Linked DNA regions of Saccharomyces cerevisiae S288C. The protein of the gene in region 3 purifies or fractionates together with the protein of the main gene of each other region. This does not show direct contact. Each region holds a gene or a part of one and is shown on either strand. Other genes may lie near its edges. The genes, in order: SNU71, SNU56, PRP39 and SNP1.

The links.
Region 1: the proteins of PRP39 (region 3) and SNU71 purify together in Saccharomyces cerevisiae (affinity purification with mass spectrometry; 5 studies listed by BioGRID). This does not show direct contact.
Region 2: the proteins of PRP39 (region 3) and SNU56 purify together in Saccharomyces cerevisiae (affinity purification with mass spectrometry; 5 studies listed by BioGRID). This does not show direct contact.
Region 4: the proteins of PRP39 (region 3) and SNP1 purify together in Saccharomyces cerevisiae (affinity purification with mass spectrometry; 6 studies listed by BioGRID, with this or other methods). This does not show direct contact.

What each region holds. Positions count from the first base shown.
Region 1 is NC_001139.9:512,594-517,315, forward strand, and holds SNU71 (Snu71p), read left to right. Parts: upstream 1-1,960; coding exon 1,961-3,823; downstream 3,824-4,722. Other genes in the region: nicotinamide-nucleotide adenylyltransferase NMA2, read left to right, coding at 1-139; MCY1 (putative cysteine synthase), read left to right, coding at 566-1,747; MSB2 (Msb2p), read left to right, coding at 4,350-4,722. UniProt on the Saccharomyces cerevisiae protein: Component of the U1 snRNP particle, which recognizes and binds the 5'-splice site of pre-mRNA. Together with other non-snRNP factors, U1 snRNP forms the spliceosomal commitment complex, that targets pre-mRNA to the splicing pathway.
Region 2 is NC_001136.10:942,827-946,845, reverse strand, and holds SNU56 (Snu56p), read left to right. Parts: upstream 1-1,693; coding exon 1,694-3,172; downstream 3,173-4,019. Other genes in the region: AMD2 (putative amidase), read right to left, coding at 1-39; YDR239C (uncharacterized protein), read left to right, coding at 3,426-4,019. UniProt on the Saccharomyces cerevisiae protein: Component of the U1 snRNP particle, which recognizes and binds the 5'-splice site of pre-mRNA. Together with other non-snRNP factors, U1 snRNP forms the spliceosomal commitment complex, that targets pre-mRNA to the splicing pathway.
Region 3 is NC_001145.3:179,285-183,952, reverse strand, and holds PRP39 (Prp39p), read right to left. Parts: upstream 2,480-4,668; coding exon 590-2,479; downstream 1-589. Other genes in the region: pheromone-regulated K(+) transporter PRM6, read left to right, coding at 2,878-3,936; GSF2 (Gsf2p), read right to left, coding at 4,316-4,668. UniProt on the Saccharomyces cerevisiae protein: Function prior to stable branch point recognition by the U1 snRNP particle to facilitate or stabilize the U1 snRNP/5'-splice site interaction. Has a direct role in the assembly or function of a catalytically active spliceosome.
Region 4 is NC_001141.2:243,895-247,362, reverse strand, and holds SNP1 (U1 snRNP complex subunit SNP1), read left to right. Parts: upstream 1-1,803; coding exon 1,804-2,706; downstream 2,707-3,468. Other genes in the region: YIL059C (uncharacterized protein), read left to right, coding at 448-813; YIL060W (uncharacterized protein), read right to left, coding at 537-971; ARC15 (Arc15p), read left to right, coding at 2,901-3,365. UniProt on the Saccharomyces cerevisiae protein: Involved in nuclear mRNA splicing.

The DNA.
Region 1 (4,722 bases), on a different chromosome or scaffold from region 3:
GAAAGTGCGGCTTTTCATCAGACGTGGAATGTCAGTTCAATATCTTCTTCCAAACTCTGTCATCCGTTACATCCAAGAGTATAATCTATACATTAATCAAAGTGAACCGGTCAAGCAGGTCTTGGATAGCAAAGAGTGAGTTTATTACAACTCTGATACTGCAGCAGTTCAAATTTACCACTTTCCTCTTCAAGGTGCATAGAAAAAAAGTTCCTGGATGCACGATTTAAAATGTTTACAGCAGAGCAACAATCATGTGAACAATGTCAAACATTTATTTTAACACTTAATAATTATAATATAACCACACCAGCGGTAAGTTTCATAAGGAAAACCTTTCAGACAAACATTCCAGTGAATCGTATACGTAAATCAGCAAAATTAGCTTATAAAATACAGAATCCGAAGATACTTGATCTACTCGCGTTACTATTAATGCGGGTAATGATCTATATTGAATTTTGCACGTCTATAGTAACTTAAAAGTCTTGTAATATTTGAAGTAACAATGCCGTATAATACTGCATAATAGCCCTATCAATCGGAATATACCAAAACATCCTTTATGTCCTGTTCTCAAAATAAGACTTCTGTCAGTCTGGCCTGGCGTGAATGCATATCCATCGCTTCCGTCCTAATTGGCGCGTATGCATCATACAAATACTATAAGCTGTTCAAAACACGCGATATTCCACGTCCAAAAGAAGGCGTTGAAGAACTCATAGGAAACACTCCTCTGGTTAAGATCAGATCTCTTACCAAGGCTACTGGAGTTAACATTTACGCTAAGTTGGAGTTATGCAACCCAGCAGGAAGTGCTAAGGATAGAGTGGCTTTAAACATCATAAAGACGGCTGAGGAATTAGGCGAGCTCGTCAGAGGTGAACCTGGCTGGGTATTTGAAGGAACAAGTGGGTCGACTGGTATCTCTATAGCAGTGGTCTGTAATGCGTTGGGTTATAGGGCACACATTTCTTTGCCCGATGACACATCGCTAGAAAAATTGGCATTACTAGAAAGCCTCGGTGCTACTGTTAATAAGGTTAAGCCCGCTAGTATTGTCGATCCAAACCAATACGTAAATGCCGCCAAAAAGGCATGTAATGAACTAAAGAAGAGTGGTAATGGAATAAGAGCAGTTTTTGCCGATCAGTTCGAAAACGAAGCCAACTGGAAAGTACATTACCAGACCACAGGCCCAGAAATTGCCCATCAAACTAAGGGAAATATTGACGCATTCATTGCTGGCTGCGGTACTGGTGGCACCATAACTGGTGTGGCAAAATTCTTAAAGGAAAGAGCAAAGATACCTTGCCATGTCGTTCTAGCGGATCCACAAGGATCTGGCTTTTATAATAGAGTCAACTATGGCGTGATGTATGACTATGTAGAGAAGGAAGGTACTAGAAGAAGGCATCAAGTTGACACTATCGTAGAAGGGATTGGGTTAAACAGAATCACTCATAATTTTCATATGGGCGAAAAGTTTATTGATGAATCAATACGAGTCAACGATAATCAAGCCATTAGAATGGCAAAATACCTATCGGTAAACGACGGGCTATTCGTGGGGAGTAGTACAGCTATTAATGCGGTAGCCGCTATTCAGGTTGCAAAAACGCTTCCTCACGGCTCAAACATTGTGATTATTGCATGCGACAGCGGTTCAAGACACCTAAGTAAATTCTGGAAAGAAGCTAAAGAAATCGATCACGACGTGTCATTAGAAGAAGTAATAAATATCTAACATAGATGTATAAATCAGTACTGAGTTATCTTCTATTAAATTGTAGGAACAAATATAAAAAAGCAGTTTTCGCTGCTACATTTTTTGCTACTTTCCGTGGTAATGATGCCCGCTAAAAAGTGCAAAAGTAATTAGATAGATCAAGAACAAAAACAGACCAGGACCAAAATCAAGCTCATAAAAGTTCCTTAAGAGTACGTCGATTTACAGAACATGAGGGATATTGTATTTGTATCACCGCAGCTGTATTTGTCATCACAGGAGGGTTGGAAAAGTGATTCTGCCAAAAGTGGGTTCATCCCTATCCTCAAAAATGATCTACAACGTTTTCAGGACTCATTAAAACATATAGTTGACGCCAGAAACAGCTTATCAGAGACACTGCTAAATAGCAACGATGATGGGAGTATACACAATTCTGACCAGAATACTGGTTTGAATAAAGACAAAGAGGCTTCAATAGCAGATAACAATAGTGCTAACAAGTGCGCCACAAGCTCTTCCCGTTACCAAGAGCTCAAACAATTTCTTCCCATTTCCTTAGACCAACAGATTCATACAGTATCTTTACAAGGTGTCTCTTCATCATTTTCTCGCGGACAGATAGAATCATTGCTAGACCACTGTTTGAATTTAGCGTTGACTGAAACTCAAAGCAATTCCGCATTGAAAGTAGAAGCTTGGTCTTCTTTTTCTTCGTTTTTAGATACCCAGGACATTTTTATAAGATTCAGTAAGGTTGATGAAGATGAGGCATTTGTTAATACGCTGAACTACTGCAAAGCCTTATTCGCGTTTATTAGAAAGCTACATGAGGATTTCAAGATTGAGTTACACTTGGATTTGAACACAAAAGAATATGTCGAAGACCGAACAGGAACTATACCGAGTGTTAAGCCAGAAAAGGCTAGCGAATTTTATTCTGTTTTCAAAAACATTGAAGATCAAACAGACGAAAGAAATTCAAAGAAAGAACAGTTGGATGACTCTTCCACACAATACAAAGTGGATACAAACACTTTAAGTGATTTGCCATCGGATGCTTTGGACCAATTGTGCAAGGATATAATAGAATTTAGGACAAAAGTTGTCAGTATAGAGAAAGAAAAAAAAATGAAAAGTACGTACGAGGAAAGTAGGCGTCAAAGACACCAAATGCAAAAAGTTTTTGATCAAATAAGGAAAAACCACTCAGGAGCCAAAGGGAGCGCCAATACAGAGGAGGAGGATACTAATATGGAAGATGAAGATGAGGAGGATGACACTGAAGACGACCTTGCCTTAGAGAAGAGAAAAGAAGAAAGAGACCTGGAAGAATCAAATCGTAGATATGAGGATATGTTACACCAATTACATTCCAATACAGAGCCTAAGATAAAATCCATTAGGGCTGATATCATGAGTGCTGAAAACTATGAGGAACATTTGGAGAAAAATCGCTCATTATATTTGAAGGAGCTATTACACCTTGCCAACGACGTTCATTACGACCACCATAGATCTTTCAAGGAGCAAGAGGAAAGAAGGGACGAAGAGGATAGAGCTAAAAATGGAAATGCAAAGGAACTGGCGCCTATACAACTATCGGATGGTAAGGCCATATCTGCAGGGAAGGCTGCCGCCATCACCCTTCCTGAAGGCACTGTGAAGAGCGAGAACTATAACGCGGACAAGAATGTGTCTGAGAGCTCAGAACACGTCAAGATCAAATTCGACTTTAAGAAGGCTATTGATCACTCAGTTGAAAGCTCTAGCGAAGACGAGGGATACAGAGAGAGCGAGCTACCTCCAACAAAACCCTCCGAGAGAAGCGCGGCAGAGGACCGTTTGCCATTTACAGCAGATGAACTGAACATAAGACTAACTAATCTGAAGGAATCGCGCTACGTGGACGAACTGGTGCGTGAATTCCTCGGCGTCTACGAGGACGAGCTGGTGGAATACATTCTTGAGAACATCCGCGTGAACCAGAGCAAACAGGCCCTTTTAAATGAGCTAAGGGAGACTTTCGACGAGGACGGGGAAACGATAGCTGATAGACTGTGGAGTCGTAAAGAATTTCGCTTGGGGACCTGAAACAGAAGGGCCTTGGCGCGCGTCCCAAAAGGGAAAGGCTCGCTCTGAAACAGGCGAAGACACGAAAACAAATTACCGTTTCGGGGCGTTTTGCAGCAAGTGGCTAGACACGTCGGGCGTTGCCAGATCAAAATAGCACCAGTGGGTGTTTTTTTACTATCTCATCTTCGTGCTGATATATATAACTTTTATACATTTCCATAGTACCAAGTTCTTTATTTCCTGCATTTTTACATTTATAATAGATTACCAAAACTATTCGACCTCACCAAGGGACCCCATAATATTGCTAAAATAATCTTACCTGTTTTTTACCATTTTTTTCTTTTTTTCCAGAAGTAATAAGCTCTCTCTTAGAAGAACTAAAAGCATCTGACTTCGGCTCGTTCCAACCGACCAAAATATTTGTGAAAATATTATTCATTCCTTTAACGACTTATTGTGTATTCTGTTCATCTCTAGCTGGCTTCCACCTCGTTTCCTATTTTTATTGACTTTTCATTAGGCTTCCTAATTATACCCATCTATGCAGTTTCCATTCGCTTGTCTCCTATCGACCCTTGTAATTAGTGGGTCATTGGCCCGGGCCAGCCCCTTCGACTTTATATTCGGCAATGGAACGCAACAAGCTCAGAGCCAAAGCGAGAGTCAAGGTCAAGTTTCTTTCACCAATGAAGCTTCTCAGGATAGTTCCACCACCTCTTTGGTAACAGCCTATTCTCAAGGTGTTCATTCGCACCAGTCTGCAACAATAGTGAGTGCCACAATCTCTTCCCTCCCATCTACTTGGTATGATGCGAGCTCCACTTCCCAGACTTCTGTGTCATATGCCAGTCAAGAATCCGACTATGCCGTTAATCAAAACTCTTGGAGCGCGTCTACTAATCAACTGCCATCTA
Region 2 (4,019 bases), on a different chromosome or scaffold from region 3:
TAATTGAACTTTTTCCTTCCACGTTGAGTGCACAGTCATTGTATAACTTTGGTACCGTGTTGTCTGTCGTTAATAACAGGTCAGAGCGGCTGTCCCTTCCACTCCCCATTGAAAAAAAAGTATTTACTCGACTATATATATGTAATACGCTTTTGAATACTAAAATAATGTTATCAGTAATCTTATCTATTATTATCATATTATCATATTATTAGCTATTATTATATCATGAGCAATTCGCGCGCGCGGCATTTGAGATAGCAAACTTAATCCGTCACACAGATAATACTACAAATTATGACACATAATACTCCCGGTACTCAATAATATCTCATTGTTCGGTCACGAATGTGTCATTGACTATCCAATAGAGAATCAAATACAACGACTACTGGGAACTTATCTCCAGAAAGCCGGCTAAAAGTAGGTGCTTGACATAAAAAAATCTCCCGGGGGCGAGTCGAACGCCCGATCTCAAGATTTCGTAGTGATAAATTACAGTCTTGCGCCTTAAACCAACTTGGCTACCGAGAGTCGATTTCTTGCGAGGTGTTGTATCTCAAAATGAGATACGTCAGTATGACAATACGTCATCCTAAACGTTCATAAAACACATATGAAACAACCTTATAACAAAACGAACAACATGAGACAAAACCCGTCCTTCCCTAGCTGAACTACCCAAAAGTATAAATGCCTGAACAATTAGTTTAGATCCGAGATTCCGCGCTTCCACCACTTAGTATGATTCATATTTTATATAATATATAAGATAAGTAACATTCCGTGAATTAATCTGATAAACTGTTTTGACAACTGGTTACTTCCCTAAGACTGTTTATATTAGGATTGTCAAAACACTCCGGTATTACTCGAGCCCGTAATACAACACGAGGGCTTGAAATATGTTTCTTATAATTAATATCAAACTTGTTTGGAGGTTCCTATGACAGCGCCTCATAACTCGTGTCATCTTTGTACTTGTTAGAGATTGTTGGGACAGATGAACATTAACTTTTCATAAGATATTACAATAGCAATATAAATACTTAAATGGTATACTATAGTTCTAATGGAATTCTAGCATCATCTATTTAGTAGTATTTATATTATTAGTATATTATCGCATACGGTATAAGAAGATGTAGTTTACTTGCTTCAAACCAGTGACCTGAGAAAGGGGTGAATAATTTGATGATTGTTGGGATTCAATCCTTGGTAAAGGTATAATATTATGAATGAATAATGTACTAGAAGCTCTCCCCGAGATATAAGAACCCGCAAAAGAGGATCGGTATTCTTACGTAATAATATTATAATCTCATCTTCCATTTTTTATGTGACATTATCCTATTACATCATGAGTTGTTGCATTTCCTCTTCCATTTGATGACTGTCTTTCAATCTTTATGTCATCTTCTTACACCGCATTTGATAATATACTACTAACACGAATGCTAATAAACAGATGATATTTTGGATTTTTACTCCAACATGATCTTTAATTACTTCTTCATATTTCTTATTCTCATGATTGCTACTGGTTTGTTGTAACCTTTTTTTTATTTGAGCTAGAATTTTCAGCGCGCATCGCAGTGTAGAAAACATTAAAGTTATATTATATACTATAGTAGAAGTTTGACGTTGAGAAACAGTTTCCCTTCGACTAATATAAGCAAAAAATATTAGTATCATGCGCCCAAGAAGGAGAGGATTAGCGTATCATCATACCAAGCCGAAGGGACAACTTTCACAAGGACATTATCCTACGACATCCAATGATGGCCAAAGAAGGAAGGTCGGTAATTCTGAAGCATTCCAATCTTTTGATATATGGAAAAACCTAGATAGGATAAGGTCGACTAAGAAGAATGCAGGGCAATTCATAAAAGGTAGTCTGCTCATACTCCCCATGAGAACGGAAGATAAACAACAGTTCGACGAGTGCATGGATGAATTGCATAAGTATATATCGAAGGATATATTACGATGTTATCCACAGAAAGAGCAGAAAGATGAAGGCATGCTTTTCTACATAGTTTTGAAGGACTTCAATATATTGGACTCTTGCTTCGTATTATCAGTTCTGCTTGCTTTCCAGAAGCGATTATGGATGGCACCATCCGAAAAATCATACTTTAGAGTTCCTAAGAATATTAACTTGACAGGTTCGTTTTATTTGCCCAAGAATATAGAAACTGGTAGAGGCCATATAATAACAAGCTATAGAAGAGAGCAGCCCTCATCCAGTATTGTAGAAGTTGGTTTCAATGTTGTTCCAGATTTTCAACAGTTTCAAGTTAAGGCTTGTCATGTAAGTAAGTTCATGAATGAGCTTTCTAATTTTTTTTCACAAGTAGAATTTGGCAAGTGTGAAGCTAACGTGATAAACTACTTTAAGCGTGAATATAACCGCACTTATTCACAGATATCACTTGCCCTCTACGAACTTCCATTAATTGGCGATGGCTTGTTTGATATAAAGTCGTACATTAGTAAAACCAGGCCAATTATAGAAACATCAAAAGCTCAAATGATTAAACATATTTCTGAAATGAAGGCATATAACGAAATAAGTGGCCTTCAAGGAGATCAATTTCCACGACAACAAAGACCTTTATCGAATTCGCCCTCTTCAAATTCAATTTCCTCTTCTCAAACTATTGAAGCAGGTGCAACTTCATATCAAACACAACCACAGAGACACGCTGTTAATAAGCCATCAAATGTATTGAATTCTTCCAATCGTCATTCCGGGCCAAAAACTTTTGAGGACGGAAGGTATAGTGAAGGTAATAAACCGGGTTTTATGACGCAGGATGAAATCAAACAACATTGCATTGGTACCATAAAAGCTTCTATGGATGCAGTGAAAAAGAAGTCTTCGTATCAGATTCTAAAGACATACGTTAGGTGTCCAAGACAAAATTATATTGATATTGTTTATCAAAATCTAAATGATCTACGATCAAAGACAAATTGTAATATCGTCGTATTGAATCTGAATAATCTTCACGAGTCACAAATGTGGCTTGAATCTTTAAATACAACAAATTACACTATTTTTGCTCAGGCGCCTCACCCAAGTACCATCCGCGTTATTAGTATTGGTGGAGTCGGTGAATATATAGTCAAAGCATTAGAGCTGATATTGAATATATTAGAACATTGAGTCGCATATAACAGTGGAGGTGTATAGATATATTTAAAAAACCTTTTGGTTATTTTTTCTCTTTCATGGCATTTGCTCCGTATGCAAAGCGATAGTTTAATTTAATGTTTTCTTTCAAATGTCATCGCGGATTCAAAGAGCGCACTATTATTATTTGGCAAAAGTTTAAGAGGGAAAATGTTGAAATAGCATGTTCTGCAAAGCGAATTACAGGTTTTGAAGGAGTCTACAGGTAAAGTCTAATAATACAGTGATGTTTGATGGCTTTAGCAACAATAAAGGTAAACGAAGGTCTTTTTTTCGGTTTGGTTCTGAAAGTAAAAACAATGACTCTGAAAAATCCGTTAGAAAGCCATCGGTGCCCTCTACAATAAAGAAATCAACAAATATCGCACGAACTTCGACGGCTGAAACTTCTGCCCCTGATATACCGCCAAGAAGTCCAAATAGGAATGCTCATAGCAGGAGCCATTCTATCCAGGCACCATTACAAAAGGAAACATTAAAGAATACTAATCCATTTTTGAATGCTGAGGATACCTTAGGAGATTCTCTTGAATTAACACAGTCCAAGGAAGCGTCAGGAAACGATCACAAAGGAATTGAATATTTACAAGAAAACAACATCATTGGGCAGAGAACCAACCCCTTCACAACAAGCGCAAATTCAAATGCACATTTCTCCAAGATAAAACGTTCGAGGCCTCCACCACCGCCTATGGACATGAAGTCAATAACAACGTCAATAAGCAACAATACTACTAAGGAAGAAATAGAGAGTAATAATGATTCTGAGCGGGATAGTATTGCAATCTCATCCACCCACAATCAACATAGGCGGCAGCGT
Region 3 (4,668 bases):
GGTAAAATCCAACGTTGCCATCGTTGGGCCCCCGGTTCGATTCCGGGCTTGCGCATATTTTTTTTTAATTCACCAAAAATATTTAATGTTTAGAAGTTGTTTTACATATTTGGACGTTTTCAAAATATCCTGACGATAGAAACAATCATTAATAGTCTTTACATATAAACAATATTTATCAAATTTTTCTGATTATATAACCATCAAAAAACACAGAAAAGGCCTGTCATTTCGATTTACGTAAACTAAATTAATAATAAATTTATTTCATCTACCTGTTTTACTCTTCATATTATTTGATTTCTGCGATTTAATAGAATCTTACCAACCTCTAATGTTTTTTGAATATATTTTAATTTAACAGGTTCAATAGTTACTTTTTTATTATAAATAATAACTTAAAATATTACATAAACTATTATTTATATTATCATACAATAATTTATTATATAATTATTTATTAACTCTACCAATATAGAATAAAACATTTTCAATAATAAATTATAAACAAGTAAATATTTGGGTACTCCTTCGGGGTCCGGCCGAGTAAATTATTATTTTAAATATAATTTATGATTTATGATTAATTTCATTTACCTTCCTTAAGAAATTCTTCAGTGTATAGATCATTAATCTTGACCTGATTAATTTTCTCCAAGTTTCTAAAATTAGGCAAACTGATGGGCTTTTGAATCAAAGTTCCTGAATTGCACTCAATTATACTGTTGGATATCTGCGGTCTTTCTGTCGTTATGCCGATGTGACCAGCCTCCTTCCATTCCGTCTTTTTATGCCAATCTACATTTGCTGTAGTATTTAATACTGGATCGTATTTTGGATTCGACATTTTCAGCTCAGGGTACAAGATAGGGTCAAATGTATTTGAATCTATAATGGAGGATTCATACGTGACGATATTTGAATGAGTTAAATAGAAAGTCTTATAATCCGTCAAAATATCATTCATTACTGTAGTCGGCAAGTATATTTCTACCCCAAGCTCCCTAATGAATTTATTCAGCTTGGTAAAATTTACATTACTCTTTTCAAATTTGTAGTAAGTTAACCAGAACGGTACAGAATTTTTAATGAGGATGTTTTTTTGATAAAGGTTGAAATATTTCCTTGTTTGCATATTATTTTTAAGTACAAGCCATGTAGTTTTTATCAATTCTACCACGACTATGCTTAAGTTTTTATCATTTATTAAGGTCTGTAAATGCACCTTGGCATCAATTTGATTATTGATGTAGTTGGTGATTGATGTCTCTAGGATTTTAGTAAACGATGTTTGTTTCTCTAGAATTTCCTTTGGCGATTGATCTAAGGAATTCTTAAAAGAATGTCTTTTCAACATACAAAGGTACTCCGTCATAAGTAATATGTCGTTGGGCCAAATCTTTAAATAACGCGATACTGTCTCATTGAATATGTTATTGAATAAGGTATTATTTGACCGATATTTTCTTTTCAAAAACCTAAGAAAATCATACCTCAAAGTTTTGAAATCCAGTGGTAAGAACGTATTGGCTTTTTGGTATATATCCACTACCACTTCATCGGATATATTTTTCTTTGTTAGCCACTTAATATACATCATCCACGTATTTTCATGGTAAAGACAAGGAATCAAACATCTGTCAAAAACGGACATTACGAATTCTTTATCCAAGGATTTTGAAGGATCCGTCACAAATTTTAAATATCGCGACCAATTTTCCAAATCATCATTTAACACTTGGCCCAGGTTGAAGAAGGGCTGTTTGATTTTCGATTCGAACTGCCAAATTTCATTTACTGTTGTTTGTGTTTTTCGTAAAACTATATCAATATTCCTTGTTGTCTTCAAATTTTTTTCATTTAAAAACTTCTTGTAAGATGTGAAAAACCGCGCATACTGATGTAGAGGAACTTCAATAATGTACTCGTATATTCTTTGAACGTTATGCCAATTCTTCTGCCCAACTTCAAATTCTATAAACTTGTCCCAAAAAGGGTGTGATAGAAACTGCTTGCCAATAAGATCCTTTGCAATTTCAAAATTATTCCTAATAAAATCCGTTTCGTTCGGGTTATTAACACACAACACATTCAAATAATCACACCATAACTCCAGAGAAGTTGGGAACCATTTGACCGAGGTGGCCAGAACAGCAATCGATTTCTTGAGACCAAATAACTGGTACTCAATAGTAGCAAACCTCTTCCAAAATCCAAACAATAAAGGGTACTTACGCAATATTTGCCATAAAATAGTTTCCAAGGCCAATTTGATTGAATCATTTGGATTGCCATATTTAACCACTGTTTGCTCTATAACATCTACCATTTGGGTCAACGAAGAAATATCTGACCAGTCTAAACCACGATATGCTTGTACTAATGCTGTGTTGTCTTGAAGGAACTGGGTGTCCAAACCTCGAAGGGCATCAGGCCTAGGCTCAATATCTTCTATTGTAAAATTTGTTTCATCTGGCATAACGAAAGACGGATTGCCAAGTATCCAATAGCAGTAAGGGCCAAAACTTTTTGTTGAACAAAGAAATGGCTGTGGAAGGCGCGTTTTTACTTTAGGACTTTGAAAACTTTCTTGCGTAAATTCTGTTTAAGTCTGAAACTTTCAACTCTGTATTAAATTTGTTTTAAGATGTGCGACGGCGACGTAAAATGGTAAAGAAAAAGAAAATGAATGATAGTAAATCATACTGAAAACGAATGATCTGAAACAATAAAAAAAGATATTTGTATATAAATTATTCAGCCATGCTCAAACCTCCAGATTAAAAATCAATAATGGATTAATTGAAAGCCCTGGAGCTGGCATTTTTTACCACATTGTCTAAGAGGGAAAGGAAAATGACAACAAAGCGCTAAATAATGGAATCAAGTTTACAAAAATTGAAATTCCAGGATATTGACATAAATCTTATTCCTACTGCGAAGTGGACCACAAAATTACAGTATATTCTATACACCTGGTGTCAGTCGATACTACATGTGGCCATGTTTTTTTCTGATATATACACGTGTATTAAATTACTGGCATTTAACACATGGTCGAACAATATCATCCAACCATTCTTGGAATTCCGTATTTCAAAATGGTTGTTTAGCGGATGCATATTATGCTCCTCATTAATATTAATTTGGGAGTTGGTAATTGGATTGAGAGTGTATAGGAAGAAAGAGATTACATCGAACTACATGAATGGCATTAGCAGATTAATAAATTGCTTGTTCAATTTCAAAAAGTATCAAATTTTCGAACTAATAGTGCTGACTGATGAGAAAAAATTCAGTAAGTGGTTATTCTTTTCATATTTTGAAATCAGTGGATGTTTGAGGCTATTGTTCGGTGACTCTCCAAGGCAAATAATCAACGGATTAACTTTGTGGTCAGTTTTACTGACAGTTTCGAATGAGACCAGTAGCGGAACCCATAGTACTCAAAGCCTAGGTAATTTAGATGACCTAAATGGAATAATAAACAAGATAAAACATATTGCTAAGACAAATTACGAAGAAAGTGTGATCTTGTCCTTCATGTTGTTCTCGTTTATCATATGGGTAATTTTAATAAGCAAATTAATTCTAAGCATAATAATATTCATCATTTTTATACGTCCGAGATTTTTGTCTAGTAAAAGGAAGGTTAAGGGGTATGAATTGAAACTACGAAAGTATGTGTCTAAAGTCATTGACGAGAATTTAAGTAGAACTGTCTACGAATTGGGAATATTGATAGATGATGAGGAAGAAGGGACCATATGTGGTGACAACAAAACGCAAAAAAAATTCGATTATGATAGTCCTGATTATGGCGACGAAAGCACAATACCGAGTTACTACTGCTACTCGGATGTAGAAACGTACGAAAGAGTATATACGCCCATAAAGGCATATTTCCCCCAGAAATACAAACATAAATACATATAAATGTAAACGAAGCTTTTTTTGACTGCAAAAATGCATTAAAAGTAAATCGATTCTCATTTATTGTATATATATTGTATATATTGTATGAAATATTTATAATGATAATGATAGTAACAAAAACCATTGATGGCTATAAACAATGAAACAAAAAAAAGCACTACGAAAACAGTAGATTCGTGAGGAATTGAAAAAAAGAGTGAAAAAACTAATAAAAACAACGAGAGTAAATAGGATAGTACAAAAATACTAGGAGTAAAAAAAGGCCCTCTAGTAGTAGTAATAGTAATAGTAATAGTAGTAGTACTAGTAGTAGTAGTAGTAGTTAAAGGCTATGGTTGAATAAAAAAAAAGTCTGGATGGTAGTGTTTTGGTTTTACAATTAATTAGATTTTTTCAAATCATTCTTTTTTATACCAAAAGTAGCATCATTGTTTGATGCTTTCTCTTTCTCATCAGCAATTTCTCTTCTGAGCTTAACTAGCGAGGCCAGTTTTTCATCTGGTTCATAAATACCAAACCTTCTAAACCTCCTAATTTCAGCATTCATCTTACCAATATCCCCGTCATACTCTTCCAAGATCTTCTTTAGATTGTTTTCCAGCTCCACAAAGTATTCTTCACTTAAAATGAATTTCCGTTCGGTTTTAATAGCCGTGAAAGTGGAAGCAGTGAACCTATCTTCTAGAGGACTTTGGAAACCCTCTCCAGCCACAAGTTGGATACCTGGTGCTG
Region 4 (3,468 bases), on a different chromosome or scaffold from region 3:
TCTGGACTCGTAGTCACTCAGTCTGTTTGTCAGTAAGTCACGTAGACCTGTATCGGCAGTAACTATGGTATTTTTTCCAGATTAATTATTATACGATGTTGTTACTTCGATAAGGTCACAACAGGTTTTCCATTGTTGAGAAACTGACTTTGATTATTATTTAGTTAGTAGGCAACTGTCATGTTGCAACCACAACAAGCAACAATCCTTTCACCATGACTATTATAAGCGGCCGGCAAAATTGCCGGGAAAACTGCCAGGGATATAATGCAACCTTCATTTGAGCACTTAAAATAGAAGATAACGTTGGTAAACCCCCCTTGATAGTGGACACATCCTACGTAGATCTCTCTACAGCCAAGTCGTATATATAGCAGCAAATTGCAACCAACCACATGGGACATAGGAATGAGTGGTTTTCTCAGACCCTGAACGTGACCGTCCATCATGAATTTCTCCACAGTTTTTCAAGCAATAATCGCGGTTTTAGGTTTAACTACAGTCACAGCTTTAGCAGAATTTGATTTCGACGTAGGCTATGAAGAGTTTGTCCGTACCAATCCTGATACGATTTTCTTAGAGAGTGATATTGGCCTGCACGTTGGATATACCGAGGGTGGCGAACGACAGATAGCAACGATACCACACAATTCCACGCTAGGGACTTCACTACGTGAGTATAGTGGCTGTGGTGGTAATGGTACAGAAACCTCCATCGCTACCCCCGCACCTACAATGAGTGAGGTACCTATCGCTACCTTCGTGAAACGTAGAAAAAGTGTACCTATCTTGCTACCGCAGGTATGTATGTGAAGAGTTGGTGAATTTTGAGATAATTGTTGGGATTCCATTTTTAATAAGGCAATAATATTAGGTATGTAGAATGTACTAGAAGTTCTCCTCGAGGATTTAGGAATCCATAAAAGGGAATCTGCAATTCTACACAATTCTATAAATATTATTATCATCATTTTATATGTTAATATTCATTGATCCTATTACATTATCAATCCTTGCGTTTCAGCTTCCACTAATTTAGATGACTATTTCTCATCATTTGCGTCATCTTCTAACACCGTATATGATAATATACTAGTAACGTAAATACTAGTTAGTAGATGATAGTTGATTTTTATTCCAACAGTATGGGAGGTATATGAACCCCTACAACCACTCATTTAGAAGTGGGGGACTGTAGTTCTTTTATGAAGTAACGAAATTTTATGAAGTAACAACAAATGTTGTTAATTGTAATCTTAATAATCTAACATTTAATAAATCTTGACCTTAGACTTTTTTGTCTATTCATAATATGCTGATATTACTTTTCTTAAATATAAATATAATCTATATAATATTATTAACGAAATGTAGGAAGCTAAAAAAAAAAAAAAAAAAAAGAAAGAGACTTTTATGCGTATATTTAGGTACCCCGGTACTTACTTCTGTATATATAAATCAGTGAATCAATACATATTTTTTTTTAATGTTTTGTCCTTATAACGCGACTTATTCAAAAGAAAAAAAGAAGTCCCATGCAAAAATCTTGTCATTATTGCGAATGGATATATCAGTGAGACCTTTTTAAGGTTGTAGGGAAAAGGAAGTACGCTTCATTACAATTTCGTTCATGTCTTGCTCGCCTACTTGTTTTGCTCATAAATCCCATCAGCACCATTGTATGCGCCCTTCGTAGGAAATTAACGCATCTGAAGAAAAAAAGAACTGCAAGATAATGACACACAGCACGGTCATCGACTGTCGAAAGGAAACCTTAAAAAAGTAATCGGCACCTCAACCTTGATGAATTATAATCTATCCAAGTATCCAGACGACGTGTCGAGACTTTTCAAGCCAAGGCCACCTTTATCTTACAAAAGACCAACCGATTACCCATATGCGAAGAGACAAACAAATCCAAATATCACTGGCGTTGCAAACTTACTATCAACCTCTTTGAAGCACTATATGGAGGAGTTTCCTGAAGGATCTCCAAACAACCATCTCCAAAGATACGAAGACATCAAACTTTCCAAGATCAAAAATGCTCAATTGTTAGACCGGAGACTACAAAATTGGAATCCTAACGTTGACCCTCATATCAAGGACACAGATCCCTACAGAACGATATTTATTGGGAGGCTACCATACGATCTTGACGAAATTGAACTGCAAAAGTATTTTGTTAAGTTTGGCGAGATCGAAAAAATTAGGATAGTCAAGGACAAGATAACCCAGAAGAGTAAAGGCTACGCCTTCATAGTTTTCAAAGACCCAATAAGTAGTAAAATGGCATTCAAGGAGATTGGAGTACACAGAGGTATCCAAATCAAAGACAGAATCTGCATAGTCGACATAGAAAGAGGCAGAACCGTTAAATATTTCAAGCCAAGAAGATTGGGCGGCGGCCTAGGAGGCAGAGGCTATTCCAACAGAGACAGCAGGCTTCCAGGAAGGTTTGCAAGCGCAAGTACATCAAATCCCGCCGAAAGAAATTATGCTCCCAGGCTGCCACGCAGGGAAACTTCTTCCTCCGCATATAGCGCTGATAGATACGGCAGTTCCACATTGGACGCGAGGTACCGTGGAAACAGGCCATTGCTCTCCGCCGCCACTCCTACTGCTGCTGTTACTTCTGTATATAAATCTAGAAACTCACGGACTCGAGAGTCTCAACCAGCTCCCAAAGAAGCGCCCGACTATTGAATATAAGTAATACTTAAACTCTGCTACTTGTTGTCTATGATTACCCGCACATCAGTTAATTTGGATACTTTTTTCCCTTTCTCAGACTTTGCCCCTATAACAAAATAAGAGAAAAACAGCCCGCATTTAACACAAGATACTATAGCAAAGGAGACCAGAGAAGACTCAACACAACACACGCGAACGATCAAGCAATGGAAGCCGATTGGAGGAGAATTGACATCGATGCATTTGATCCAGAGAGTGGCAGACTAACCGCTGCCGATCTGGTACCACCATACGAAACTACTGTCACATTACAAGAATTACAACCTCGAATGAATCAATTGCGCTCGCTTGCCACAAGTGGTGACTCTTTGGGAGCCGTTCAATTACTCACAACCGATCCTCCATACAGTGCAGATGCTCCAACAAAGGAGCAATATTTTAAGAGCGTCCTTGAAGCATTGACACAAGTCAGGCAAGCCGATATTGGTAATGTAATCAAAAATTTGAGTGATTCTCAGAGGGACGTGCTGGTAAAGTATCTCTACAAAGGAATGTCCGTACCTCAGGGCCAGAAACAAGGGGGTGTCTTGCTTGCGTGGCTGGAAAGAATTACTCAAGTCAGTGGTGTCACACCTATCGTTCATTATATATCGGATAGAAGAACTGTATGATACTCTGCCCAGTAAAACTTAGTATAAAGAAATATACATATATATACGTAATTTTAAGGGTCGCGTTTGTTATATGCTTTTACTTCAGGCATTTCGCGGTGAT